7 linked regions of the Xenopus tropicalis genome follow. The protein of the gene in region 6 purifies or fractionates together with the protein of the main gene of each other region. This does not show direct contact. Links are inferred from orthologs where the notes say so. Each region holds a gene or a part of one and is shown on either strand. Other genes may lie near its edges.

What was found.
Region 1: the proteins of eef1a1 (region 6) and vars1 purify together in Homo sapiens (affinity purification with mass spectrometry; 3 studies listed by BioGRID and IntAct, counting the BioPlex papers as one, with this or other methods). This does not show direct contact. The link is inferred for Xenopus tropicalis from reciprocal best matches to the Homo sapiens genes EEF1A1 and VARS1.
Region 2: the proteins of eef1a1 (region 6) and gapdh fractionate together in Homo sapiens (co-fractionation; 3 studies listed by BioGRID). This does not show direct contact. The link is inferred for Xenopus tropicalis from reciprocal best matches to the Homo sapiens genes EEF1A1 and GAPDH.
Region 3: the proteins of eef1a1 (region 6) and eftud2 fractionate together in Homo sapiens (co-fractionation; 4 studies listed by BioGRID, with this or other methods). This does not show direct contact. The link is inferred for Xenopus tropicalis from reciprocal best matches to the Homo sapiens genes EEF1A1 and EFTUD2.
Region 4: the proteins of eef1a1 (region 6) and rbx1 purify together in Homo sapiens (affinity purification with western blotting; 3 studies listed by BioGRID, with this or other methods). This does not show direct contact. The link is inferred for Xenopus tropicalis from reciprocal best matches to the Homo sapiens genes EEF1A1 and RBX1.
Region 5: the proteins of eef1a1 (region 6) and eef1g purify together in Homo sapiens (affinity purification with mass spectrometry; 5 studies listed by BioGRID and IntAct, counting the BioPlex papers as one, with this or other methods). This does not show direct contact. The link is inferred for Xenopus tropicalis from reciprocal best matches to the Homo sapiens genes EEF1A1 and EEF1G.
Region 7: the proteins of eef1a1 (region 6) and eef1b2 purify together in Homo sapiens (affinity purification with mass spectrometry; 3 studies listed by BioGRID and IntAct, counting the BioPlex papers as one, with this or other methods). This does not show direct contact. The link is inferred for Xenopus tropicalis from reciprocal best matches to the Homo sapiens genes EEF1A1 and EEF1B2.

Annotation. Positions count from the first base shown.
Region 1 is NC_030684.2:75,080,970-75,084,469, forward strand, and holds part of vars1 (valine--tRNA ligase), read right to left. Parts: intron 1,796-3,500; coding exon 1,705-1,795; intron 1,516-1,704; coding exon 1,391-1,515; intron 1,274-1,390; coding exon 1,170-1,273; intron 1,096-1,169; coding exon 937-1,095; intron 124-936; coding exon 33-123; intron 1-32. UniProt on the Homo sapiens protein: Catalyzes the attachment of valine to tRNA(Val).
Region 2 is NC_030683.2:10,006,237-10,010,314, forward strand, and holds the start of gapdh (glyceraldehyde-3-phosphate dehydrogenase), read left to right. Parts: upstream 1-1,278; 5' UTR 1,279-1,326; intron 1,327-2,464; coding exon of another isoform or gene 2,465-2,561; coding exon 2,562-2,564; intron 2,565-2,643; coding exon 2,644-2,750; intron 2,751-2,851; coding exon 2,852-2,942; intron 2,943-3,033; coding exon 3,034-3,149; intron 3,150-3,785; coding exon 3,786-3,867; intron 3,868-4,078. UniProt on the Homo sapiens protein: Has both glyceraldehyde-3-phosphate dehydrogenase and nitrosylase activities, thereby playing a role in glycolysis and nuclear functions, respectively.
Region 3 is NC_030686.2:17,862,438-17,866,537, reverse strand, and holds the start of eftud2 (116 kDa U5 small nuclear ribonucleoprotein component), read right to left. Parts: upstream 2,801-4,100; 5' UTR 2,750-2,800; intron 2,688-2,749; exon of another isoform or gene 2,664-2,687; intron 969-2,663; 5' UTR 958-968; coding exon 847-957; intron 1-846. Other genes in the region: ccdc103 (coiled-coil domain-containing protein 103), read left to right, coding at 3,100-3,150. UniProt on the Homo sapiens protein: Required for pre-mRNA splicing as component of the spliceosome, including pre-catalytic, catalytic and post-catalytic spliceosomal complexes. Component of the U5 snRNP and the U4/U6-U5 tri-snRNP complex, a building block of the spliceosome.
Region 4 is NC_030680.2:115,969,901-115,974,011, forward strand, and holds the start of rbx1 (E3 ubiquitin-protein ligase RBX1), read right to left. Parts: upstream 2,801-4,111; 5' UTR 2,792-2,800; coding exon 2,678-2,791; intron 382-2,677; coding exon 303-381; intron 139-302; coding exon 68-138; intron 1-67. UniProt on the Homo sapiens protein: E3 ubiquitin ligase component of multiple cullin-RING-based E3 ubiquitin-protein ligase (CRLs) complexes which mediate the ubiquitination and subsequent proteasomal degradation of target proteins, including proteins involved in cell cycle progression, signal transduction, transcription and transcription-coupled nucleotide excision repair.
Region 5 is NC_030680.2:36,806,296-36,810,384, forward strand, and holds the start of eef1g (elongation factor 1-gamma), read right to left. Parts: upstream 2,801-4,089; 5' UTR 2,795-2,800; coding exon of another isoform or gene 2,783-2,794; intron 1,950-2,782; coding exon of another isoform or gene 1,791-1,949; intron 1,636-1,790; coding exon of another isoform or gene 1,572-1,635; intron 395-1,571; 5' UTR 269-394; intron 1-268. UniProt on the Homo sapiens protein: Probably plays a role in anchoring the complex to other cellular components.
Region 6 is NC_030681.2:91,801,312-91,805,378, reverse strand, and holds the start of eef1a1 (elongation factor 1-alpha 1), read right to left. Parts: upstream 2,801-4,067; 5' UTR 2,771-2,800; coding exon 2,627-2,770; intron 2,355-2,626; coding exon 2,175-2,354; intron 2,072-2,174; coding exon 1,775-2,071; intron 1,678-1,774; coding exon 1,527-1,677; intron 1,077-1,526; coding exon 820-1,076; intron 703-819; coding exon 468-702; intron 379-467; coding exon 254-378; 3' UTR 1-253. UniProt on the Homo sapiens protein: Translation elongation factor that catalyzes the GTP-dependent binding of aminoacyl-tRNA (aa-tRNA) to the A-site of ribosomes during the elongation phase of protein synthesis.
Region 7 is NC_030685.2:50,704,095-50,708,247, reverse strand, and holds the start of eef1b2 (elongation factor 1-beta), read right to left. Parts: upstream 2,801-4,153; 5' UTR 2,755-2,800; coding exon 2,675-2,754; intron 2,111-2,674; coding exon 1,988-2,110; intron 869-1,987; coding exon 733-868; intron 214-732; coding exon 147-213; intron 1-146. UniProt on the Homo sapiens protein: Catalytic subunit of the guanine nucleotide exchange factor (GEF) (eEF1B subcomplex) of the eukaryotic elongation factor 1 complex (eEF1).

The sequences.
Region 1 (3,500 bases), on a different chromosome or scaffold from region 6:
AATGATGACATATCTAAAGCATGTATTGTTACCTCTCCAGCAGGTACAGATGGATCATTAACTGTCACAAAGTAAGCTGGGATACGGTGGCCCCACCACAGTTGACGTGAAATGCACCAGTCCCTAGAAAAAACATTTAAACTCATTTCAGAGAACCAGTTATTGCAATATTTTAGGGTGCTAATAAGAGACCTAGAGTGTAAGAGCATTATGCATTTCCTAGCAGTGGATCTTTTAAGCTTTCCACTACAAGACAGCACATGAAGTAACTCAGCATGTTATTTTCATTAAGATCGTACCAACTCTACATAAGTGCTGAACGCAAATGGAACACAATCAGCACGAACTGATTGGACATGGCAGTCTGTATTAACCTCTGTGTTCCCCTGCAGTGGAACTCAAGACAACCACTCCTCTGCCCTTATGCAGTCGGACAGAAAAAAAGACAGAGGTCAATTTGTAAAAGAAAGAGAAATGTGTTTAAAGCATTGCACACATTTTATAAGAAACCAAGTGTCTTGGGTTGCTATTACAAATCTTCTATACTGAAAAAGATCACATGGAGAAAAAGATATACTGAAAAAGATGCCAGGGGATTAAATGGGAACTATTGCAAAACATGTCACTCTTCATTCTTGATTGACAAGTAGATCTAATACATCTTTTAGGGTGCACTTCCTTTCCTAGCAGATGTATTGGAGTTAACTCTAATAACCAGAACAAAAAAAATAACTGACTTCAGCTCAATTCCTTAATGCAGAGAAACGAGCAGAGTGAGCTCTTCTAGGCAAAAGGTGCAACGCCCCCAAAACATGTATTAGACCTAACTGTCAATCAAAGCCCCTTAATAGTACAGTACCTTTTCATCAAATACAACTTATGGTGTTGGGGTTACTTCAAAAAAATTACAAAGCCTGAAGCAAAATTTTTGTTCACCTGATATTGTCCATCCAAATGAACCATGTCTTAGTGTGGAATTCAGGTTTAATTAGCAAATGTCCATCACGCACAGCATCAGCAGCTCTTTTCCCCATCTCATCACAACGTACATACCACTGAGGCTTCAGCAAAGGCTCTACAATGTCTTTTGAACGGCTAAGGGAAAAGATTTGAAAATTAATGTAAGCCTATAGAGAATCAATCTGTTGTGTGGCTGCTGTAAATGTTACCTGCAAACTGGCACAACCATAGGGTTGTCTTTGACCTCCTTGAAAAGTCCCTTTTCTTTTAGTGCATCCAAAACAGCTTTTCTGGCATCAAATCTTTTCATTCCCTGAAAAAAAGATTTTTGCTTAAAGAGAGCATGTGACAGAAAACAAAGATTAACAGTTTAGCACAGAAAGAAAAGGTTAAATTATGTAAAATTGTGTTGTCCATGTGCTATTCTTACCAGGAAAGGTTGGGGTACATTTATAAGAGTCCCATTGTCATCCATGATGTTAACAAAATCTAGAGAGTGTCTCATTCCAACCTCATAATCAGTTGGATCATGGGCAGGAGTGATTTTTACAGCACCTGTATAACAAGATGAAAAGAAAAAGTGTAATTTTTGCAACCTGTCTTTCACATTCAAATGTTCATCAAGTGTTGCTATGTCCAGACTTGAAATTAAAACCTCAGATATGCACTATGCGCATAGCATAGTTGATACTCATCGTCTATTGTTGATATTCTTCAAATCAAAACTTGAATTTCTGCAGGTACCTGTTCCAAAGCTCATGTCTACAAACTCATCAAAGACGATAGGAAGGAGGCGAGAGCAAAATGGATGGAGAACGTGATGACCCTTTAAATGCTGTAAAAGGGATAAGTAGAAGCTTTATTAATATGATCCTACAATTGTTGCATTCAAATGTCTACAACAGATACAAAAAAGGGGTGGTAAGTGCAAGTGTCGGCCCAAACCCACCCGACCCGCACATCACTAATATATGTTACAAATAATATATGCCTTTCTATAATATACTATAGGTGCCAGTACCCACTGTCATTTACTATGCACAAATTGCTTGGGGTACCAGTATCTACACATTCATTTCATATAATACTTTATATCAGGGATCCCCAACCTTTTATACCTGTGAGCCACATTTAAATGGAAAAAACATTGGGGAGCAACGCAAGCATAAAAAAGGCTGTAATTGGCTACTTAATAGCCCTTATGTGGGCTGGCAGGCTACAGGAGGCTCTGTTTGGCATTATACTTAGTTTTAATGTAACTGCAACTTGCCTTCTCCCCAGAAATAAAAAAATGAGCACCTACTTTGAGGCTACTGGAGCAACATCCAAGGGGTTGGTGAGCAACATGTTGTTTAGGAGCCACTGGTTAGGGAACACTGCTCTATATAATGTGCTTTGGGTGTGGGTATTCACACGCAGCTTTTTGCCACTCCTGGTAACTTGCTGGGCACTGCCATCTGAGGCATGTTCTCAACACGCTTATGGTGGCAGGCCCCTGCTGCTACTTGCACGTCTCTCCAGCTAAATATGTACCTACATTTTAGAACTGACAGTTTAGTCCAACATATATATATAAAATTATATATTTAGGGGCAAAATATGCAGACATGATATTTTGGTCTTGCAGAACTTTTCCAGTGCAAGAGTTTAAAGACTATCCCATCACCCGGGAGATAAAACAGTAACCAAATATCTAGGATGATGAGAACAGTCTGCCTGGATGTTAGGTTATATGGCACTGAAGTTATAATGTTGCTTTTAAACCAGTGTACCGAAAAGGCAGATTTTATCAAAATGTATTATGAATACTGTGGTGCTGAGCCTGGCTCTAACCATGACCCACATGATTCCTGAGAAATAGATTACATTGAAAATGAGTGCCTTTGAAAAAAAAAATAAGCATAAAAGCATTTCCACTAAAGCCCTTGGATGTTGCTCCCAGTGGCCTCAAAGTAGGTGTTTATTTTTGAATTCCTGACTTGGGGGCAAGTTTTAATTGAATAAAAACAAGATTAGCTACCAAATAAAGCAGTCTGTAAGCTGACAGTGTGCATAGAGGCTACCTGATAGCCAATGTTAGCCCTTATTTGGCACCTCCATGAACTTTTATGATGCTTGTGTTGCTCTCCAAGTCTTTTTACATTTGACTGTGGCTCACAAATAAGGGGATTTATACTTACCGTTACATCCTTTTCTCTTAGTCCTATAGGGGACACAGGCACCATGGGGTTAAATCCCCTCCCATCAGGAGGCAGGACACTGTATAATTTTGATTTCTCTCCCCTATATAACCTCATCCCCCACCCAGGTACCTCAGTTATGTAACAAGACCGAGCAAACAGTGCTCTTAACTTAATAACTATAAGCTATAACACAGCTGAGTGAGAAGGTATGCATGATCCCTAAGTTTCCAGGGAGGGTGGCCTGTGTCCCCTATAGGACTAAAAGAAAAGGATGTAACGGTAAGTATAAATCCCCTTTTCTCTTGCGTCCTGGGGGACACAGGCACCATGGGGACATACCAAAGCCGTCCCCCCTGG
Region 2 (4,078 bases), on a different chromosome or scaffold from region 6:
GAGTTGTAGTTCTGTGCTACTGGTACTTTTCCAATGTAGTGTGTTTGTGAGTAATGGGGTTACTGTATTAGTGGCTAAGGATGGGATGGTGTAAGGGCTGCCTGTGCTTAGATTGGGGAGGCTTTAGGGTGGGATGAGTAATGGGGTTCTGGTAGATATAGGGAAGTGGGAACCTTGGGTAATCAGGAGTCTGTGTATTAATGATTTGGGTTGGACACTGGGTGAAATGGGGCACTTCCTGCCCTCTAGTGGGTGGGTATGGGCTATATGGGTGCCTTTGGGTGGGATTTAGCTGCAGGGGGACCAATTCAAGGTGCAGTGGTGTGGGGGTTAATATTAAAGGTAGGTTGTTGGGGGCACAGAGGGGTGGGTGGATGTGCCCAATAGATGGGATGGAGAGTGACTTGGGCACGGGGTACCCTCCTCTTGTTCCCCCCCCCCCCACTAATTTCCTTTCTTGCCTTTAGGGGTTGATAACTAAACCAAGTGACACCAAAATGACTGTCAAGATTGGAATCAATGGGTAAGTTAAGGGGTTAATAACTTCATTGGGGGTGGGTGCTGGGGCTTAAGGGGGTAATATGCAGGTGAGTGGGGGGAGATGCTGGGGTATAAGGGGGTAATGGACCCAGACAAACAGCTGGGGGGGGGTTAATGGCTTGGCAGATTAAAGGCCGATGGGATAGTGTTCTCTGCACGGTTTAGCGATTGGCCAGTGTAAGATGCCCCTTGGCTCTGGCAGTTGAGGGGTTATAAGTAATGAAGCTACAGACCTTTCATAAATGGTTAATGGTCCAGGCCGATTATTCTTTCAAAATGGCTGCTGCTCCTTAACCCCTCCCCTGCCAGAACCATGCGGAGTGTGAAGCTTCCTCACGTCCCACTGAGTCACTGCTCCCCACCTCACACCCCAACCCCTCCTCTCCATCCGCTGCGGCTCCCCATTGCTCCACCTTCTGCCAGGAGGGGGGTACAGTAATGCGCATGGGGGTGTCCCCAGTGTCTGGCTGCTGATGTCTCTCAAGGACAACCCCAAGGTCACAGTGTATCCTGGGCCAGGGTCACCCTTGCACTGTCAGTGTCCTATTGATGAGCTGTACCTGGGGGGCTGATGCACGGCACCTTGGGTGAATCCCCTCCCCTCGCTGCTGCAGAATAAGGAGTAATTGCACAAGTGTGGGGAAGCTGAGTCACGTCCTGCTCCCTGGTGGCAGCCGCACGTAGGCACAGTCCCCTGGCTGTTTTATTCTGGTTAGTGACCATAATCCTCACAGCACAGAGTCTGACTGGGCTCTCGTGAACCTTCTAGAGACTTCTCTCATTAAAGTGGGACACTAAGATGCCCCCCCCTGGCATGGCTAAGTAGGGCTCCTATTAATAGAGGTGTTGATGCCAGCTGCTGTAACCCACGCCAGGGACATTATCATTCTGCCCTGCACGTCTCTGCCAGGACTCGGATCCAGTACTGCCCCACAATGGAGGCTGCTCCCGTCACTCTGGCCACTCATCTCTCAGCCTTACTACACACCCTCCTGTTTGTCCTCATTACGCGTCGCTGAACTTCACTGTTGAACTTCACCCCGAGCAAAGTTCAGCCCTGAATGTGCAGCCAGTCACTCGTATTGTGCCTCGAAGCATGCAGGGCAGTGTCAGGAGTCGCAACAGGCAGGCTGTGTGATTATTGCCTGTAATAACAGGGCAGTGGCAGGCAGACTGATTATTGCTTGTAATAACAGCCATTATTCAGGTTGTGCTGCGTGAGCAGTGCTTGGATAAACTGCCCCCCCCCCCCCAGGCTGGCTCAACTGAGTCTGGGTCAGTGGAGATTTCTGTGTCAGCAGGTGTTGTGCTAATGGCGGCACAGACCTTTTTTTTAAAGGGCAAGTAAACCAAAGTACATTAAGTTTGCATATTTCTTAGTGACAGATTGCCTAAATCATGTGCCCCCCCCTTGTGCCATTTAGAATAGTGGGATCCATTTGATCTAGGTCTCTGTATTCTCTATGTAACTGGCCCCTGTTTATTGCTATTCACTATAATGACAGCTATGTAGGGTGCCCTTCCCACCCTAACTGCTTAAAAAGAGGGGGTAGCAGTGCACCCCATTACTTCTATGCTGATCAACCAATTGCACCAGGCAACACTGCCCAGCAAGAGTCGGCAATTGCCAGTGCACTGTGGACAAACATTGGTTGGCTTGGGGGTTCCCCAAGCCAACCAATGAGGGGAACCAGCATGCCTTGATTCTATGGAGGGTTATGGGAATTGTAGTTTAACATATAGGGATCAAAGGACTAAGCTGTTGCATTGTGGTTTCAGTGCATTGGCTAAACTTCCCCTTTAACATCTAGCTGTGACGTCGCATCACTTATGATGCAAGGCTTTATCTTCTTACTGCTTGCCAGTGGCACAAGGGGTTAAGCGCATAAACATCTAACGATAGAAATCATTTTTTCTTTTTAAGATTTGGCCGCATCGGGCGCCTGGTGACCCGCGCTGCTGTTTTAAGCGGCAAATGTGAAGTCGTTGCAATCAATGACCCCTTCATTGACTTGGACTACATGGTAGGTGGCTCCGTTCATCTGCATTTTTGTGTTCTGGAGTATAAAATGCTCGGGAATTAACCCCTCCCACTCTCCGCAGGCTTACATGTTCAAATATGACTCCACCCACGGCCGATTCAAGGGAACAGTGTGTGTTGAGAATGGCAAGCTGGTTATCAATGGCAAGGCAGTCACCGTCTTCCAAGAGTAAGTGAGGTTGTGGCTCAGTCCTGGCCTGGTTCTAGACTGGGTTCCTGCAGCAGAATCTAATCACAGGGGGGATGTTTACAGTTCTCTCCTCTCCCCAGGCGTGACCCCTCCAACATTAAGTGGGGCGATGCTGGTGCAGTGTATGTGGTGGAATCTACTGGAGTCTTCACAACCAAAGAGAAGGCCGGTGTAAGTAGTTACACCCCCCCCCCCCATAACATTTGGCTTTCTATATCTAGAATTCACCCTGGACTTTTTTTTTTTTAATTTTTACCTGCAGTTGCACTTGAAGGGAGGTGCCAAGCGTGTCATTATCTCTGCCCCCTCAGCTGATGCCCCCATGTTTGTTGTTGGGGTGAACCATGACAAATATGATAACTCTCTTCACGTTGTCAGGTAAGTGTGGGGTAAAAATGGGCGTTCCTTTAAAGGGGGAGCGAACTACCACAATGCTACAGGCTGTCTGCAAGCTTCTGTATTACTGGGTTAACTCTTTAGTTCTCAATAGCTCATGGTTTGCAGCTTCTGTAATCTAATAAGGGCTTGTTTACTATAACAACCATGTAAAACTCTAAGCCTGAAGGCTGTAAATCCTTAAACCTTTTTTTATCAGGATATTTGTCTATACAAATACTGATCAGGCAGGGGCTCCCTCTACTGCCCATAATAAAATTGCAGCCTGTTCTAGGTTTGCTGCTTGGCCAAACCATTCTGTACTTGATGGAACCTCTCAGTAATTGGCTAGTGCTTAGGCCTCTGTAGGCAGGCATTGATGTAGGCTGCCCATTCTCTGCCACTTTCTTTAGCTCAGGAATGTTAATGCTGTAAGTCTCACAGGCAATTACTGTTCTACATAAGCTGGCTAGCTTCAACTGGCAAAGTGGCTCTGCCTTCCCAGCCCTGGGCCTGCCTTTACAGGGCCTTGCCCCAAATACAAGCAGTAATGTGTCCTCCCTATATGGGCTGGCCTCTTTACTCTGATGGAATAAGGGAGTGATGCTTAGTTTACCTTTTCCCCTGCTTTGCCCGCAGCAACGCATCCTGCACAACCAACTGCCTGGCTCCTCTTGCAAAGGTCATCAATGACAACTTTGGCATCCTGGAGGGACTGATGGTAAGTGCAGTGGGGCTTATTCAGCTTGGGACATAGAGCCTAAAGCAAACTGTCTCCCCCCTCACCCTGTATGAGTGACCTTAATGGAAATTATACCCCCCCCAAACAATGTAGGTCTCTCTAAAAATAGTGTGAACAAGCTTGTACATAAAAACCCTGCTTTGTGCAAGTTTTCATAACTTAACTTACTTTTTTGTAGTATGTGCTACTG
Region 3 (4,100 bases), on a different chromosome or scaffold from region 6:
CCATGCACCATGGCATTGTATAAATGCCATCAGGGGATGGTATTTCTACAATGCTCAAGAAAGCATGACATTTATATTTAATATGTGTCCAGTTTCTTTTGGTAGGGTATTTGGTGGCAATTTAAGAATAAATATTATCTGAGAGTCCGATAAACTTTTATAGACTTAGTGAGGCTTTACATTGACAACAATAAAAAAAATAAATCAACTACAATAAAAACAACAAGGAAAGGCAAAGTCACTTGGGGGTGCCAAAATGTTAGGCACCCTCAAGTGACTTTAACCGCATACCTTGTACCCCGGGCTGGTGCCCCTGTTAGGAGAAAATTGCACCAGCCCGGGGTACCTGTAGCGAGCGCTTCCTCCTTCCGTATTTGCGCTTCAGGCAAATTCCCAGGACAATCGCATGCGTAGTAGAGTGAAAAGCCGACTTTATAGTTTAAGTTCGTCTTTTTCACTCTACTGCGCATGCAAGCGAAGCAGGAAGGAGGAAGCGCTCGCAGCTACCCCGGGCTAATGCTATTCTCTCCGAACAGGGGCACCAGCCCGGGGTAAAAGGTAAGGTGATTTAAGTCACTTGGGGGTACCTAACATTTTGGCACCCCCAAGTGACTTAGCCTTTCCTTCTCCTTTAACCCATGCAATGCCATAAATATAGGATCCATGGCACTTGCATGATGGTAATTTGGTGTTGTGCCACATATTCTCTGGTGCGGGTATATAAAGGGACTAACAAAATTGTTGTTCTATGGTAGGCCCTGATTAATACATCTTCATGTTTTTGGCTTTATTGTTACAGAGGTCTCATGTGCAGGCCATGTATGTATGTAATGAGAATTGCCTTACCACATCCACATCCCTGTCATCTCTCCCCATGTCATCGTCATCATTATCATCATCTGAATCCAATTCAGGCCCAATGTAGTTACCAAATTCATCGTACAAGTCAGCGTCCATTTTAGCTGAGCCTTATTTTAAAATATAAAAAAATAAATAAACTCACTGGTCAATGACAGAATCCCCACCACAAATACACACATTAAAGGAATACTCTCTTTCCTTTAAAAAAATAAAAAAAATCAAGGTTTCGAGGCAACTTTTCTTTAAAGTCAGATGAAAGGAGACCCAAGGAGCCATTATCTATTGCCAGCCTACTTCCCCACCAGCAGCAAACAGGCTGGTGTTTATTAGCACTGCTTTGCTCACTGCCTATCCATGCATCTGCCCAACTCTATCCACTCCCCTTGGACGCTGGGTTGTATGCAACATGTTATCTCAGAAAGTGAATACAAAGGAAAGGCTACTCACTAATGTTCTTGCCGGCAACTGTTAGCAACAGTTATAACTGTTACCTTAAAATCAAGAAGCAATTATTTGTATTGGGGTAACAGTATAACAGAATAAGGTGAAAGTAGAAATAAAGGCAAATAGGATCATTCTACAAGTGAAATATAAGCCAGAGATGAATTATGACTCTCTACGTTCCACAGCCACAGTTAACCTTAAAGGAACAGTAACACCAAAAAATGAAAGTGTATAAAAGTAACTAAAATATAATGTGCTGCTGCCCTGCACTGGTAAAAGTTGTGTGTTTACTTCAGAAAGTCTACTATAATTTATATAAATAAGCTGCTGTGTAGCCATGGAGGCAGCCATTCAAAGAAGAAAAGGCACAGGCACATAGCAGATAACAGATAAAACACTATTGTATTCTACAGAACTTATCTGTTATCTGCAATGTAACCTGTGCCTTTTCTCCTTTTTTCCAGCTTGAATGGCTGCCCCCATGGCTACACAGCAGCTTATTATATAAATTATAGTAGGGTTAAGCTGGCCATACACGCACCAATACTATTGTACGAAACCCCGTTTCGTACGATATTCGGTGCGTGTATGGCATGTCGGCGAGTCAACCGATATCGCAGGAAGCTGCTGATATCAGACGACTCGCCGATCGGCCAGGTTAGAAAATTTTGATCGGGCGCCATAGAAATCTGCCGTCAGGGCTGAATCGGCAGAAGGAGGTAGAAATCCTATTGTTTCTACCTCCTTATCTGCTGTTTCAGCCCTGACGGTGTGTGGCGGATCTGACATCATCAGATCGCCACGTGTATGGCCAGCTTTACTGTAGCAAACACACCAATTTTACCAGTGCAGGGCAACAGTGCATTATATTTTTATTACTTTAAAGCTCTTATTTTTGGTGTTACTGTTCCTTTAAGCTTTTACCATAATACAGACTGATGTAGTCTGGCCAACTGGAGGACTGCAGGTTGGACATCCCTGACATAATTAGCAGCTACAGTAGGGTATCCATCATTCTGCTCTAATGTATAAAGCATAAAAGAGGAAGGCTTATGCCATACACCCAATGGCCCAACACCAAATCAAGGGTACCCAGGTAATGTGGGGGTTTACTACTTGTCACATCATTGCCCCTGGGTTATCCACCCCAGATAGGACACCATAAAAAATGTACTTTTACTGCATTACACCTAGAGGAAAAAAATGGCAAAAACATTACCATTATTTGAAAACTTTGCCCAGATTAAAAAAAAAAGGGGGGGGGACTTTCCCTTTAATGCAATATGGCAACACAATAAATGTAGTTAGCCGTGCTGCTTCCTACACCCTCTAGCAACCCAGCCAGGCCCTGTGCTTACTGTATATCCACCTAAAGGTATCAAGCGAGATTCATTTCTAGCTACAAGGAAAATATCCCGTTTCCTTTCCATTCATTGCAACTTACCCGCTCACGCCGCTCTCACACACACAGACACACGCCACTTCCTGCGACAAGGCCACGAAGGACCCCGCACGTCGGCTATACGCTTCTCAGCGTGCAGTACTCGCAGGCCTTCAAAGTTAAAACGCCCTTTCCTTTTTATGACTCAAATGAGGCTACATGCTAGCAATTGTCATAATGTGCAGTTATACCTAGAATTGCACTAATTTCATATGAAACTTGCAATTTGATCAGGCACCCTGTTAAACACCTATTCAAATAAGCTCGCCTTTAAAATACGTAAAGGACCTAGATGTTTTCTGATTGGCCAACAACAGTCTTTGACGTTCGTTCGTGTGATTGGCTGATACGAAATGGAACGTTTCCATAGGAACGGAGAAGCGGAGGCAGACGGTGAGGAGCAGGTAGGTTTGTATGGCGCTTTCACTTGCTGGATTGCGTGCAGTTTGCTTAAAAGTACATATTCCGATTTAGAATTGTTAGATATTTTCAGGGTATGCACCTGAAATCTCCAACCTGCTGCACTCCAATATGTTGAGTCTAAGCAGGGCCGCTGCTGGCCAAATGGGTGCCCTAAGCAGAAATGTACTTTTGTGCCCCCTCCCCCAAATATTACGGAAGTAAAAATAAAATAATAAAAAAAACACCTACTATAGGGGCCCCACTAACAGTGCCCCCAATTGCCCCCATAGACACTGCCCCCATAGACACTGCCCCCATAGACACTGCCCCCATAGACACTGCCCCCATAGACACTGCCCCCATAGATTGATTGAACTATCTGGGACAGCGGGATGCGCTATAAAAACCGGCGGGACAGTGTTGGGGGTATGTTATAATATATAAAAACGATTTTTTTGAGCAGCAGGGATGGTGCCTCCCTGGGAGTTGGTGCCCTATGCAGACTACATACTCATAGTTACATAGGGTTGAAAAAAGACCAGAGTCCATCAAGTTCAACCCATCCAAGTAAACCCAGCACACACAACCCACACCTACCAATCTACATACTCACATACATAAACTATAAATACAACCACTAATACTAACTGTAGATATTAGTATCACAATAGCCTTGGATACTATGCTTGTTCAAGAACTCATCCAAGCCCCTCTTAAAGGCATTAACAGAATCTGCCATTACCACATCACTAGGAGGGCATTCCCCAACCTCACTGCCCTCACCGTGAAAAACCACCTACGCTGCTTCAAATGGAAGCTCCGTTCCTCTAATCTATAGGGGGGGCCTCTGGTGCGTTGATTGTTTTTATGGGAAAAAAGAACATCCCCCATCTGCCTATAATCCCCTCTAATGTACTTGTACAGAGTAATCATGTCCCCTCGCAAGCACCTC
Region 4 (4,111 bases), on a different chromosome or scaffold from region 6:
GTTTCTCCAAAAAAACTATATTATATATTTGATACTAAGTCACTGAATATCCATCAAAGCTACTTACATTACACACACCCCATGCCACAGTGCATTCCTCAGAAGTAGCAGAAGCTTGGTTTGCTTGGCACTCTATGCCTAGAAGATACAAGAGGATTATTTTTATTTTCTGCATTTGTACCATTCAAAGGGGTTATTCACTTTTTCAAAGATAAATGTATATATAAGCACTGGGACTAACTAAAATGTTGCTTACAGACAACAGTTGTTTTATCGGCTAAAGTTCAATTAAGGAAACTTACACAAGTCCATGATGTGGTTCCTGCAGATGGCACAATTGTCCACTACAATGTCCCAGGCCCAAAGGGCAACTGCATTCCACTGCAACAAAAAAGAAAAAAAAGTTAAAGTGATGTAAATTTTGGCAATAAATTAAATATGTTTTAAAACTCATCTAATCACTTAGCACAATCTGCTCTAAGTTGGTTCATGTGTATAGAATTACCGGTATGTTCGATTTACTAGTTTAGCCAGTTTTACCAGACAATGGCTTTGGAGTCTTACTGGAATGGTTAAACGTGGCCCAAATGTGGCTCAATGAAGGCACCAATATCAATGTGCCTAGATCAGGGCCGGAATAATGGGTGCCAGACAGGTACCTCTCCTGCCTCCCCCTAGTCTGCACTAACTTGTCATTTCCTTCACTGCACGTGGGTATTATGCATGGGAGGGTGCAGGGGTAAGGTGGCCGACCAGGTTGCCTAGGTGCCCGGTCGGCTTGGCCTGCCTCTGGCCTAGATGCTTGGCAGACCCTGTTACCTCAACATGTAGCCTCACACAGAGCTGGATAAGAGTGTCGTCTTGATGACCCCCCCCCCCCTTTTTTTTTTTTTTTTTTTTTTAACAGTAATCTCAGGTCAGACTGTATACAACAGCTCCATCAGGAGCTTATTTCTAACAAATAAAGTGTCTATACCATAAACATATACTTTTCACTAATTCACTCAAATTAAAAAAAAAAAAATATATAAAAAGTTGGGGAGCAACACAATCATGATAAAAGTGACAAATAAGGGCTGTGATTGGTTATTTGGTAGCCCAATGCAAACTGGCAGAATAAAGGAGACTATTTGGCAGTACAGATGGTCTTTATGCCTACAAAACTTGCCTTCAAATTAGACATTAAGAAATAAACACCTGTTTTGAGGCCACTGGAAGCAACATTAAAGGGGGTGGTGAGCAACATGTTGCTCATGAGCCACTGGTTGGGGATAACTGATCTATAACATGAAGGGAGAAGGACCCTCTAAGCAACTCCATAAAAAGGTGATTTAAAGCACAAGTTGGGGGATGGAAATAGGAAAATTTCCAAGTCTCTAACTATAACTGGACATACAGTTACATCTATCATTTAGAAACTGAAAGGGTATGGCATAGCTGTAAATCTGCCAGGAACAGGCCATCCACGAAAAGAGAGTGAATGTGCAAGGAGAAGAATAATGTAGAAGGTCACTAAGAGACCCATGACAACTCTGTGGCTGAAATTGGAAAGGCTATAAATACAACAAATACTGCCCAGTAGTGGAAGAAAGAAAGCCACTGTTAATCAGGGTTGGACTGGGCTACGGGACACTGGGGAAAAAGCCCAGTTGGCCCCAGCCTTCATTTAGGCTTACCCAGTGGCACATACTACAAAAAAAAGTATATTTATATGAGAATGGCTTTTTTGGATGAAGTAGGGTTTTACATATGAGCTTGTATATGCAATACATATTTAGAGACCTACATTGTTTCGGAGTATAGTTTTCCTTTAAGTATAGGGTATGCAGGGTCTGAGGGAGAGGAGGCTGTAATGGCAACATACACCAACAATGGCACATACACCATGTTTGATACTGTAAGCTAAACACACCATGCCCTGCAGAACTATGGTGGCAAAATCATCACGCTGTGAGAATGCATATTCACAGCTCCTGTACCGTAGGGGTATATATATCATGCTGTGCAAAAAGTGGAGTAAAACATCACCGATGAAGTTTATAGCAGCCAATCAGAACTGTTGAAATCTAATAGCCGATTGGTTACCCAGCTCAACACCACTGATAATGCTTCACTCCACTTTTTACACAGCATGATTAATATACCCCTACATGTGCTAAATGCAAGTCATTTGACCCCTACATTTACTTGTTCAACAATTTATTTTTTATCAAATAGCCCCGTTTCTTGCTCTCACACCGCTAAAAGCCCAAGACACATTCCCTGCCTCCTCCAGGGAAACAAATGAGCAAATGAGACCACGCAATGTCTGTGGCCCTACAGCTCCCCCGCAAACTCGTGAAGTGCGGCTACATGATCCCGCCTCCCAGTGCAGCTGAGAGGGGCACTTACATTGGTTAGAATTCATCCAATCGTTTGTGGCATCAGTAGCTATCCGCTATTGGGCCGCCGGAACGACAGAAATCACCGCTTTGCCAAAACGGACCGCCCTAAGTATTAGGGTTTAACATTTGATTCGGCGGAAAACACGTCAATCAAACATCTAAAAAGCTTTAGGGCGCAAGCAATCTAGCTGAATAGTATCAGCTGCTGCACTGTCGCCCTCTTTAAGTATTAGTTAGAAAGACTGTTCTGATCATTTGCTACATCCATAACATACGCAAGCAAGCACACTTACCTTCTTAACCTCAAAGCGCTTCTTACTAGCGCTGTTATTCGTTCCGCTTGGTGTGTCTACATCCATTGCGGCTGCCATTTTGAAAAGAGGAAATTCCGGGTCTATATGGCGCATGCGCCGAAAGCTGGGCTGATGCCTTGGTCATGTGATTAGCATTAAAGGCGCACAGTTTGGGGCGTGTTAGTAATGTGTGTGGGGGCGGAAGACGGTAACGAGGAAGAGCTGCGGTCTGCAGGCTTGGAGAGAATTTATTTAAAGGCGTAGGCACATGCTCCTTGAGGGAAGTAAAATGTACAGATTTAAGCAAGCTAGCCTTTTCATCTGTTCGTATTCACTAAGGGGCTGTGGTGTTCTGGTTAAGCAAAATATTTCTGTATTGAACAGTTAACCCTTTCACTGCCAGCTGATTTGGTCAAAGCAGAACTTGTATTGCCAGACTGTTTTGAAACATTTTGCACTCTTAGGGCCTTTCCTTGGGGGGACTTTTAGTTTACACAGGAAAACAATATATCTTTTTTTTTTGGGGGGGGGGGCGACCTAAGATTTCAAAATATGGTAGAATTTTTGTGTGATTCCAATTCTGGAACAAGATATAGGCTTCTTAATGTCTAAAAGATTAAAAAAAACAAAAACAACAAAAAAACAACAACACGTTTTCCGTAATATAAACACATATAAAAGAAACAAATGATTTTATGCACAAAAATACAACTGATTCGGAAAGTCCCATGTCTCCTGAATGTGCCAGCACCAAATATATATATAGTTTTATGTCGATTTCTCATTTGTGTGATTCAAAAATTCCCAGCGGTACACTACCTACCAAATTTCCAAAGCACTGCTCCAGAAAGCTTGCATACTTAAGATTTTAACACCTACATTTCAGAAGGTTTATACCAGAAAATTATACATTTTTGGAAAGAACAGATTCTGAGGAATGGAGAATAGGTTAAAACTGTCTGTCTACTCCAAACTACGAAGTTGCAATGCTTTCCTAAAATTATTGTTTTTTTATCAAAATTTATCACAAAGCTAAAACTGTAGTACTGTGTTAGCCAGTGTCAAAAATAATAATAAAAAAAACAAAATACAAGAGTATTATATATAAAAATAACATTGCAAGCTTTCGGAGCTCTAAGGACCCTTCGTCAGGCAAAATATGTATAGGTTTCCACAAGTGTGTGCAATGTAGGGGCCCTAAAATGAAAATACCCCTATATGATCTATCATTTCTGTCATTTCAGCTCCTGCAAAATCAACATTTACATTATTTTATGTGGAATGAAGCTACAAAAAATGAATGCTCACCCCAGAAAGTCATATATTTTTTTGAAAGTACACATTCCCATAAATTCAAAATGGTTACACATGCCTTTTTTACTCCAAAGTACCAAGCTGCAAAGCTTTCCTAAAGTGGGCGATTTGGATGATATT
Region 5 (4,089 bases), on a different chromosome or scaffold from region 6:
CACAGAGCTACTAGTAGCAGCTACTTGCCGTGACTACTAAAAAAGAGAATGCTGATCATTTACAGATAATTGCCTCTACATGTGTTTTAGCAGAGGCAATTCTCAGTATTGTCTATGGCAGGGTATTTTCTGGAGTTTAGTAGTCATAAAAAAAAAGTAGCTGCTACTAGTAGCCCAGTGTGTCTTCACCCTAAGAGTGGACTTTCATTATACCCAGTCTGCAGGAGCCCGAGACACACAGAAAGAGGGACAAAAAGAAATGGATAACCTTGATGTAGAATGATAAAGATTCACAGCTCATCTCAGAGCTCACATGCTCTCCAATTTAAATCTGAGACTCCAAGTCAGCATTTGTCTTGTAGTGCAATTCTATGCATTCCGCCACAAGGAATGCCTATAAAAATATGAAGAGATTAAGGTATAATTTGCCAGGTTGCTATTTTATGATTTCAGCTTTGCAGCTGCTGTTTGAATGGCCAGCTATCCATAAGTTTTTTTTTTTTTTAATAACCTTTCACAGGAATACTGCTTATGTTTATAATTCCACCTTAGTGTAGGGAGTGCAAGCAGCAGAACTATAAGTGGCCATCTCCAAAGATAGAACACTTCCCAAGGTTCTCAACCTATAATGGGACATGCCAGCAGGGTTGATCGATATTGGCGAGTACAGAAAATCTGTATTTGTCCGAAATATGTGGAAACATCTTTACTGAAATGTTTTTATGTAAAATCACTATTTCTGGGCAGTTTCCCACCAGGAGGCCAGCAGGCAGGATATGTGACTGAACCTGGGCCTGGGCTGGGGATTCCATGGATTGATCTAAATAAATAGATTTTTAAGAAGAGAAAATGGCCAGAACGAGAGCAGAAATGGTAGGTGCACAATTTTTGGGTTATTTTAGGACCATCCAAACAGTGACATAACTAAGCAGCACCTGGGCCCAGTTGCAATTTTAAATGCATGCACTCCCTCCTCCTCTGTACCCCTTTCCCCATTCATTTATTTGCAGAGAGCAGAAGAGCAAACATTGGAAATAAGGAGGGAGAACCATACAGCAGACCAAGCCTGGACTGGCAATCTGTATATTCTGTAAAATGCGAAAGGGGCTGCTGTAAGATGCCACTGGGCTGGGGGTTTGGCCTCTGTGTACTTGAAATGTTGAGGCCTATTTTGAATCCCAGTCTGGCCCAGCAGCAGACCTTGAGACCATTATACCTCCCCTGTGGCTGTGGGGTCTGCTGTATACTAGTTACAGCAACAACCTCCAAATTAGCTTCTTAGGGTAAGAACCCACATAGCGAGTTACTCACCCACAACAGACCGCTGCTATCATGGGCGAGTAAACGCTCTGAAAAGGCTTTTCTCCTGCAGGCAACTTCACGCAACTTTGGAAACCGAAGGCCTTTTCACCCATGACTTCTACTGTTGCCGATGGAAAGCCTTTTCGGAGCAGTTACTATCACAGGTGGGTTCTTTCCCTAAGGGCCAGAGAGTAATTGCTAGGTCTGATTCTATAAAGGCTAACCTGCTGAAGATAAAATGATAACAAGAGATAAAATGATTGTCTCACCATAATGAGCAATGGCGCTGCTCTCAAAAAGGCAAAAACCGTCGTTGCCCTCAAATGCTGGTACCTAAAAGTCCAGAAAGAGTTTGATTAAGGACAATAATATTACCTTAAAAAGTTCATTACATCCAGGGCTACAGTATGAATATATACATACTGTACACACATTGCAGATTATCTGGAGGGGTTGAAGTTGAGGGACTATGGAAGCAAATGCATTACCTTGCCTAAGGGGAATTTCTTTAGGAACTCGGATGTCTTATTCGTTACTCCAAACTGGAATTCTGGAGGAGAGGAGGCAACCTTGATGGGGAACCCCGAATACTGAGCAGCAATGAGGGGCTTGTATGCCCTCCAGTTATCAGGGTATGTGTACAGAGTCTGCAGAGAGAATACACACAGTTATACATTATACACACTGAGGCAAGCAAATATTGTACAAAATGATTATCCCCAATCATATGGGACTTTGCACCACCAGGCACCATATACAATTCCATGTACCATATTTAGGGTTGCTGAAGGAAACATTTTCCTTTATATATCTAACACATTCTAATGTACACCCAAGGCCCTGGAAAGCAGCACATATCTTACTACATGCCATATCACTATTCTTATGTGAAGTCTCCTACTGGGTAAAGCTAAGCCTTGGCAGACAACAGAATGTAAGCCTAAAATCTTTAACTCAAGCAGCTACTTCTTGTCTTTATACTCTTATGGCAGCAGCAAATAAAACCAGGGTTGCCACCTCACCACTTTACGCCACACTACTAACATGTATTAGCTACAACACTGCATGGCAGCTCAAAAGCCTTCCCATGCGTTGGAAGTTCTCTATAGAGAATACTGTGCATCTGTCACATGTCACTGTATAGAGCCGCTGTCACACAGCAGCCGGTATTACAGCCGTACAAATGGCGCACAGAGCGGGAGAGAAACGCGTGTGGAAGGAGCAGGCAGGGACACGTGACTAGGGGCAGTTACCGGGGCAGCGCCGTATTGCCCTCTCTTTGTACCGCTCCCCTTAGTTCCGGGTAAAGCCGGGCACTATTCCCACTAACTTTACCCCATACTACCAGCACCAAACCGGGAGATGAAAGGTGACCCGGATAGCAGAGCGCACCCCATATCCCAGTGACCCACACTACGGCCCGGATATATCATAAGCTGTCGGATGTGGATGGATTTTCTGGGACCTATTCATTACTTACCCCGCCGGCCATCTTCACGCGAGTAGAAAGGGAGGAGCCGCAGTTCCAGCTCTCCGACGTAATATAGGTGCCGAAAACAGACTACGGGCTGTCGTAAAATAGAGGAGTGTAAGCGACGGGAGCGTAACGTGACGCTTTCGGGACGTACAGGCAGGTGATATGTGGCAGTATGGGAGATACAAAGGGTTTCTGTCAGAAAACCCTACCCCAAAAAAAGGATTCTATGGAGTTAAGCTGTGATAGTGAGTTTAATAAGCTGAGAGTGAGAGGGATTCACTTCCCTGGCAGAACCTTCCAGAACAGCATAGAGGGATTTCCTTGCAATGTAGGAGCCAGCTGCTAAGGGATAATACATTTAGTCAGGACCATAGATAGAACTAACATATGTGGCTGCCTGAAATATGTATTATAGGTGTTATTGAAAAGTCTGTTAAAATGACCTGTCAAAGGTCATTTGGGGTAGAAAAGTAAGGTTTATTAGACACTTAATTGGGTTCTGAGCAAAACATAGAACAAAACCAGTGTTGCCAGATTTATTTTTCCAAACCAGCCCAAAACTAGCCAAAAGCCACTTCGAAAGTAGCCCAAAAATAGCCCAATATACAAAATGAAAACAAATTCTAAAAAATAAAAGTATATATGGGAAAATGCTTTTTTTGTAGTGTATAATTACTACCCATGCCCTGTGCCCTCTCTCCAGTTACTGGGATGGCTGATGTTTCCCAGCCCCCTGTGCCCAGTCCATGCAGGTTATAGTAGTTTTGCTGGTTCAGGTTCAGCAAAGAGGAATAGAAAAGGGAGCTTCTGTCTATAATTGCATGCTGGGTATTGTAGTTTTATATTAATCTTAGCTGTAGGCTAATTGTAAGAATTGTACTTTCTTTTAAAGTAACTTAAGTTTTTGCAAAAGTTACATAAATTGCATAAGTGTAGTGGCCCAATGATGTTGCTGTGGGGCCCAATAACCAGTCATTCCTCTGCTGTAAAGTTCATGCAGGAGTGCACAAATCCATCTGTTAATAGTTTTCAATATAAACAGCCGACATTACTCTTTAATAAATAGTTAAAATGAGTAATTAATGTGCTAATGTAATATGAGTAGTAATGTAATAATGAGTCAATTCACTGGGGACAGTAACATTTACCTTGACTTTTTTGATCTATTGGGGGGGTCATATTGGGATATGCAAGTTAGGTTAGGGTATTTCCATACAGCTGATTCTTGAATCTAAAAATCTTTCAGTTGTGCCTGCACCCGGAAGCACTGAATCCGCCTGGGTGCAGGCACACGCATGATATTTCTGCCT
Region 6 (4,067 bases):
GGTCTCAATTTGGTGACAGATTTTGGTCAAGTTGCTTCCATTTAGAAATTACTGGATTTAAAACACTAATAACTTAAAAACTGCCACAAACAAATGTGTCCACGAGCATTTTTTTCCTTCTGAAGCTTTTGCGATGCATTGTAATCATTAACCAGTCTTTGACTATTAAACTCTGATGGCCAATTGATAGAAAGAGTTCTGAGACCAATCCTCCACCACTGGTTATGACTGAGGTGAGAGATGCTGGAAATATTCATTTGCCTTTCTGTGCTTTCTGAGCAGACTTTGTGACTTTGCCAGCTCCAGCAGCCTTCTTATCGACCGCCTTGATGACTCCTACAGCAACAGTCTGCCTCATGTCACGGACAGCAAAACGACCTTGAAAAAAATAAATGGATAATTAGCTTAAGGGCCTACTGGGTAGCATTTTACAAGACTGCAAAAAGGTTATTTTGAAAAAGACTTACCAAGAGGGGGGTAGTCAGAGAAGCTCTCCACGCACATAGGCTTTCCTGGGATCATGTCAACAATGGCAGCATCACCAGACTTCAGGAACTTGGGATTGTCTTCCAGTTTCTTACCAGAACGGCGATCAATCTTTTCCTTCAGCTCAGCAAACTTGCAAGCAATGTGAGCTGTGTGGCAATCCAACACAGGGGCATATCCAGCACCAATCTGGCCTGGGTGGTTCAGGATGATAACCTATTAAGTCAGACATTTAGAAAACAATCTTAGAGTTATGCAAAGCGATTTAAATGCCCCCATAGCCAGCTATGGAAAGCCATATCACTTCCTTTAGCCATAAGCCATCTTGCATACCTGTGCTGTAAAGGTACCAGCTTCCATTGGTGGGTCATTCTTGCTGTCACCAGCAACGTTGCCACGACGGACGTCCTTCACAGAAACGTTTTTCACGTTAAAGCCAACATTGTCACCGGGCATGGCCTCGCTAAGGGCTTCATGGTGCATTTCAACAGATTTAACTTCAGTTGTTACATTAACAGGGGCAAAAGTAACCACCATGCCTGGCTTAAGGACACCAGTCTCCACACGACCAACTGGTACAGTACCAATACCTGAAAGAAACAGCCATTTTAGTGTGAATACTTTAACATACTAAATCCCAGCACTGCCAAAACAAGGCCTAAACGTACATGTTGGCAATTACTAGTCTTCCTTCTGGAGACTTGTTTAGAGTGTCTAAGCTAAAATTAGATTTATGAGCTCTTTGCTGCCAATATTTTATTCACTAGACATTAAAAAAGCAGTAACGTAATATATCAAAGCTGTTAACTAGGGACATCCATGCCTGGTGAACTTCAAATTTGTTACTGCAGTTGGGGGGGGAGGGATTATTTCAGACAAGCAGTTAACCTGTACAAAAAAAAAAAAAAAAAAAAAAGGCTGCTAAGTTTTTTTAAACAGATGCACGATTTTTAACTTGGTTTCCCCCACAAACCATGTAGGCCAGTAAACCTAAAGCACGAACAACATTCCAGCATACACATAGGAAAAGTGTTACTTACCGCCAATTTTGTAGACATCCTGCAGAGGCAGACGCAGAGGCTTATCAGTTGGGCGACTTGGTGGCAAAATGCAGTCAAGAGCTTCCAGCAGGGTAGTTCCGCTGCCAGATCCCTCTTTACGTGAGATTTTCCACCCCTTAAACCAAGGCATCTAGAAAAAACAAGATTTGTATACATCAAAATACTGTTACACTAACCAGAGAGTATGCCAGGCTGTAGACATTTAAGTGAACTGCCACAGTACTTACATTGGCGCTGGGCTCAAGCATGTTGTCACCGTTCCATCCAGAAATAGGTACAAAGGCAACAGTATCAGGGTTGTAACCAATCTTCTTGATGTATGTGCTGACTTCCTTAACGATTTCCTCATATCTTTTCTGGCTGTATGGGGGTTCAGTTGAATCCATTTTGTTAACACCAACGATCAGTTGCTTTACTCCCAGAGTGTAGGCAAGGAGGGCATGCTCACGAGTTTGTCCGTTCTTTGAGATACCAGCTTCAAATTCACCAACACCAGCAGCAACAATCAGGACAGCACAGTCAGCCTACAAGAGAAAACATACATTTTTACTCATGTGCACTTAACAGCAAGCCTGCCTCACCTACTTTAGATATAAATAGCAAAGCTGCTTGGGACTTAAAACCTACCTGAGAGGTACCAGTGATCATGTTCTTGATGAAGTCTCTGTGTCCTGGAGCATCAATGATAGTAACATAATATTTGCTGGTCTCAAATTTCCACAGGGAGATGTCAATGGTGATACCACGTTCACGCTCGGCCTTCAGTTTGTCCAAGACCCAGGCGTACTTGAAGGAGCCCTTGCCCATCTGTTAGGTGAAAAGTTCAGCAATGACATGATTAAAAACCCCTTACAAGGCTTCTGCCAAGAATGACCTGACACACTGCAATGTTTATACTCCCCCTACTATCACAAACACCCAAGGCAGGTGGCTATTAATACAAACCAAATACAAGTACACATTAGTGCACAGGCAAGACTTGTCTAAACAAACATGTGCAGGACTAAATATTTAGTAAGGGGGGGGGGGGGTGAGACTGCTGCAATACCACAAGAAGTGCGATTGTTAACAAAATTTACCTCAGCAGCTTCCTTCTCGAACTTTTCGATGGTTCTCTTGTCGATACCACCACATTTGTAGATAAGATGTCCAGTTGTTGTGGACTTTCCAGAATCTACGTGTCCAATGACGACGATGTTGATGTGAGTCTTTTCCTTTCCCATTGTGGATTGTTAGATGTTTGGCGGTGGACACTAAAAAACATCAAAAAAAAAAAAAAAGCTAAAAATATAGGTCACATCAAAGCAAGCCATGGCAGGCATTACTCAGCAGTTCCAAGGGCTGGAGACACAAGCAGCCCCACCCACAATTCAAGAACTTTGCACAGATATCTAGTTGGAAAAAAAACCCTGAAATCCCTCATTACATAAAAGGAAGAAGGCAAGAGCGAGGCCTGTACTCCCCCTGGTGTATGAGTCAGGCCCTGCATGCAGCGCTCCCAGCTCTTTTGTCTCCTCACTTGTGACTCAGCCTCCATCTTGTGGAGAAAAAAAAATCCTTCAGCTGAGAGCCGCCGCCATCTTTATGGAACAACCAGATGGGGGAACGCAACGCTAAACAGGACTAATGGTTTAGATACGTTTCATTTCTATAGAAAAGAGCAGAGCCCACACAGAACATTTAACCCAATAAGTAAGCAGCTGCTATCCCGCGTTCAAGCAGGGCCAGCAGTAACCCGTAGCACGCCGGCCATTTAGTGAGTGAAGCCGCCCCCACTGGCTCGGATACACCGGCCACGCCGAGCCTGCCTGGGAGAGAGGGTGATACACGTCAGCACTAGCGCCATTGTGCCAGCCGGGCCCTGACACTGGCAATAGCCCCAGTCCTGCTATAGTTCAGCGCTTACAGGCACCACAAACACTATGTTCGCCTGACCAGTCTAAACTGCACTACGTACAATGAATCCCATGTAGGCGCGCCGCCACCCATCCGCACAGCTCTCTCGCTCCTTCCCCAAACCACGTTCACTTGTCGAGCCTTAAGCATTTACCGTCTGGAATAATACAGCACCGGCAATATTAACCACATCCGCCTAAAGCCAAGTATATATTGAGAGGAGGCGGATGGCTTACATAGGAGAGGATGCAGCGCAGATTGGGACTAGGCCGCAAGCCTTGCTTTGGCACCGTTCTTCATTTTGCGCCCACTTTAAGCACCCATGTTCCCTTCCCGCCAAGATATCTAGTGTAACAATACGGTAACACTAATTGCCAGAAATACGCTAATACACAGCTGAAAGAGACCACGGCCCCAAGCAACTCCGTAACAAATGCACGCGTGGTTCCATAAAAGTTAAATAAACTACGGCAGAGGAAACCTATTTATCTACAATAACAACGGAACAGAACACAGCACACACATCCAATTGCAGGTTTCACTGCAAATCTCAAAATCACGACCCGGCCCTTGAACGCAACCCACTTACCTTAAAACTCGCCGCAGACCCGGTGAGGAAGAGAG
Region 7 (4,153 bases), on a different chromosome or scaffold from region 6:
ATTTCCATTCCACAAAAAAAAAAAAAAAAAAAGGAACTGAAGACCAGTATGTAAACAGGTAGTGATTGCACTTTGCTTTTCTTAAGGCAAAACAATTAAAAACATATGCCTTAAGGAGAATAAACACTCGGGAGAAGGCCACTTACTTTTAGACTTCTTTGCTTCATACTGTGCTAAGCGTTCTTCGCGGACCCTCTTTGATTCTTCATTTTCCTATGAAATAGAAAAACTTAAGATTCTGCACAATAGCAAGTTTTTTTTTTGTTTTTTTAAGTTAACAGGCTGGTGTAGTCAGTTTAGAAGACAATATGCATCACAAATCAGCCGAAAGATGGTGATTTAGCTCATTCATCACATGACCAGCCTGAATATAGTACAGCCAAATTTGTGTTTTACACAACTCCCTTCACATGTTTAGAACCTTAGTAACCAACAGCAAACACTGCTTCAGGTATGTGGCCATAGTAGTGTGCCTTGGGCATGTAATATAATGAATTTGTGGTTACAGTGGAGCACAATTAAAGCATGCACGCATTTTTGCTACGTTCATTGTCCACAAGGAGACTACATGAAACACAGCAAACTCTCTTTACATTTCAGTCTGTAGAACAGCATGTTAAAAAAAAAAAAAAAAAAATTATGGACACAGCTGTACAGCCAGTGTAATTTATTCTGCACCTTATGCTTCTTAGGTCTAATTTTATTACATCTAAAGATTGTTACACATCCCACCTCTTCATCATCTGAACCAAACAAGTCAATGTCATCATCATCATCCTCTTCCTTGGTATCTTTTGCTGTACTGCCTGTAGTATCTTCTATGTTAACAGGGCCATAGTTTCCCAGAGGCTTCTTCACACCAGGCAGGCTAGGAAAAAAAAAAAAAAAAAAAAAAAAAAAAAACTACTTTACAAAGGAGAAATATACTTCTAGGCTATTTGCATTAGCAGCTGCTTAGAGGTGAGTCACAAGGAATATACAGTTATCTAGAATTACATACAACTTTAGAGAACAAATTACAATAGAGAACAAATTACAATACTGACATCTTAACTGCAAATGACTGCAAGCTGGCCCAAATATGGGTAGCCACGCTACTATTTGACGAGGCTCCTCTGCATGTCTGACTGGGCATTCTGTGTGCTCAGCTAGCATCAATTAAGCCAAGAGAATGCAATTCTGTCCTACTGTCAAAGAGAACACTTCAGGTTAACATTTAGTATGTTATAGAACAGCCTATTCTTAGCAACTTTTCAGTTGGTTTTCATTTTTATGGTGTATAGTTTTTTTGCCTTTTTTCTTCAGACTCTTTCCAGATTTCAAATGAGGGGGGGTGGTCACTGACCTCAGAATCCAAAAATCTGTTGCTCTGTGAAGCTGTTTTTTTTTGTACTTATCTTTCTATTTAGGGCCTCCTATATTGAATTTTCCATCTTTCAAACTACTGGCTAGTTGCCTAGGTTAAATTGGACCCTAGCAACCAGATATGTGAAACTGGACAGCGGTTTAACAAAAAAACAATCATTCAAACACCAAAATAAAAAAAAAAAAAAAGTTGTCTCAAAATTGTACAGTATACTAAAATTTAACATAAGGGTGAACAACTCCTTTAAAATACTTCATAGACCACAAAAATGATACACATTCATGATCCATGTTAATTAGAATTGTGCCCATTTACATTCTACAGCAGGCCAACAGTACTATCAAAGCTTATGTATGTTGCAGCCACTTTCTGGCTGCATGAGCACTACAGCCATAGGCAGTGATTTTTCAGCTGGATGTTAACCAATAAACCGAATTAAAAAAAAAAAAAATCTGATTCAGATTAGATAAGTATAGTAGTGAACGTGCTTCAAAGTGCTGTAGAACAGCTCAACCTAAAACAAAGAATATTGTATTCAGCACAGTATCATATTTTTTCAACCATGCTCCTTTATCAATCACTGCTGTGAAAGCAATAGCTATACTTTATCATACTGCTTACCTACTTTTCTGCTTTTCATAAGACTTGATGTGGTTGTACCAACGCAGAGCATGGAAAAGGTCAGCAGGGGGCGCACCAGAGAGGGCATCAAATACTGCAACATCAGCCTGGGAAGGGACATATCTGAAAAGGGTGGGGGTAAATATACAATTAGCAGCATAACCACTAAACATAATATAGTACAGTAGAAAAAACTGTATAAATAGTGTCCAAACATTTGTTTCCTATAAACATTATCCAAGTTTTAAGGCTATTTGCACATTTAGTTACACTGAACAGTTTATATAATTTTCCGTTCTCTGACATAGTGCAGTTTAAGCAGCTGGCTTCTGCTACATCGGCTCAGCAGTCGTAGCCAGCAGTGCCGAAAGTGTAGAAATCCAGACCTATTCTGCTTTTAATACAAATTACATTTACAAATGATTCCAAGAAACACTTAATTATTAACATTAGAAAGAATACATAACTAAAGCACAAGGCACAATTAACCAGGCAGCCTTTACATATTACATCACTTGGGATTTTGTGACACGTTTACGGCACTGCAGCTAAAAGAATTCAGGAGTCAGGCAGCAGGAGGTTGCGGCCTAGGACCACGCGTTGGAAGCCAACACGTTCATTCATATTACACATTCCTTGTCCTTTCGAACATTAGCACAACTATAATATAGCATTTACCACACTGACCCCTCGATGTAGCTCTTGTCGGCCAGGAACTCATTCAGGACCTTAAGGCCTGCAGGGGATTTGAGATCGCCGAAACCCATTACAGCAATTCACTCAAGAAGCCTAGCACACACGGGTAAAGAAAAGAACTTGCAGGCCGGGTAGATGCCTTTTATAGACAGGGGGCGGGGCTACGAGGGGCGGGCTAAGCCTTCCTTAAAGACTCACTATGTAACATGTACATCATTTCAAGTTTATATTTTTTTTTATCCGCACCCTTTCGGCAAAGTATTACTTACTGGAGACCATATCTTCGTTTTCCGACTGCAGAAATATTTGGGATTGCATGTGTTGCCGCTTATCACGGAGATAGCCGATGTTAAGTCGATCCGGAAACTGCCTGTGCCGAAGACTAACGATGTTGCGTTCGCAACATTTCGGAAACGAAGTTTCTCCGAGTCTCGTTCGTCATTTTTGCCGGACTTTGTCGATCTCTAGTCTTTGCCTGTGCGGAAGTTACCGAAGCTTTCTCAGTTACGTATAATTCTTACCATCTTCCGTGGCTTGTTCCGGAGGTTGCTTAAATCCGCCATATTGGTCAAGGGTGCCGGCCAGGGCTGTTCTGGTCTAGAAGGCCAAATATTCCCAGAGCTGTTTAGGGGAGTCGGTGGGGTGAGTGGTTTGGAAATGGCAATTCTTTGTAATGTTTTGCATAACCGATGCGGTAACCCTGCGTTACGGTGTAATGGTGTTGGCTGTGTGTCTAGCAAGGTAGTAGGTCACTCTTGTGCCCTTGACAGATGTAGTTTAGTTCGGTAGGACTTGGACTCTTCTATTATTCGCTAAAGATTTCCAGACTCCATCCCTTCCTATACTAGCAAACCCGCGGGCTACAGCGTTCCATAGTCTGTGCATGGGTGCGCGTCTTTACTCAGAGCTCTGCTGGGATTCAGTAATGCGCTTCTCTCCTTGCACATCCTCTAACCTCTTAGTTATTGCACATTGCGCGAAAATTACACATGCAATTGGTTGCGCTGGTTAAGTCGTTACTCAGCAAATAGGGAATATTGTAATATTGATTAAAATTAGTTTTTATGACCTGGCTTGTGGCTCAATGGCTATGGCAGATTTTTTTTTTTTTTTTTTTGTGGGGTGGGATAAAGTATAATACAGGTATGGGACCTGTTATCCAGAATGCTTGGAACCTGGGGTTTTCCCGATAAGGGATCTGTCTGGAATTTGGAACACCATACCTTGAAGGGCACCCTGTCACCCTGAAAAATGTTTCCCCAAGGACAGTTGCAAGCTAATAGAGCCAGCATTCTGTTTGGGAAAAACAATTTTTTGGTGTGTGTCAGCCGCACTAGCCCACACACACTGGGAGAGAGCTTTTGGTGAAGGCTGTCATGTTCTATAGCAGGCATCCCCAACCTTTTATACCCATGAGTCACATTCAAATGGAAAAAGTGTTGGGGAGCAACACAAGTATGGAAAAAGTTC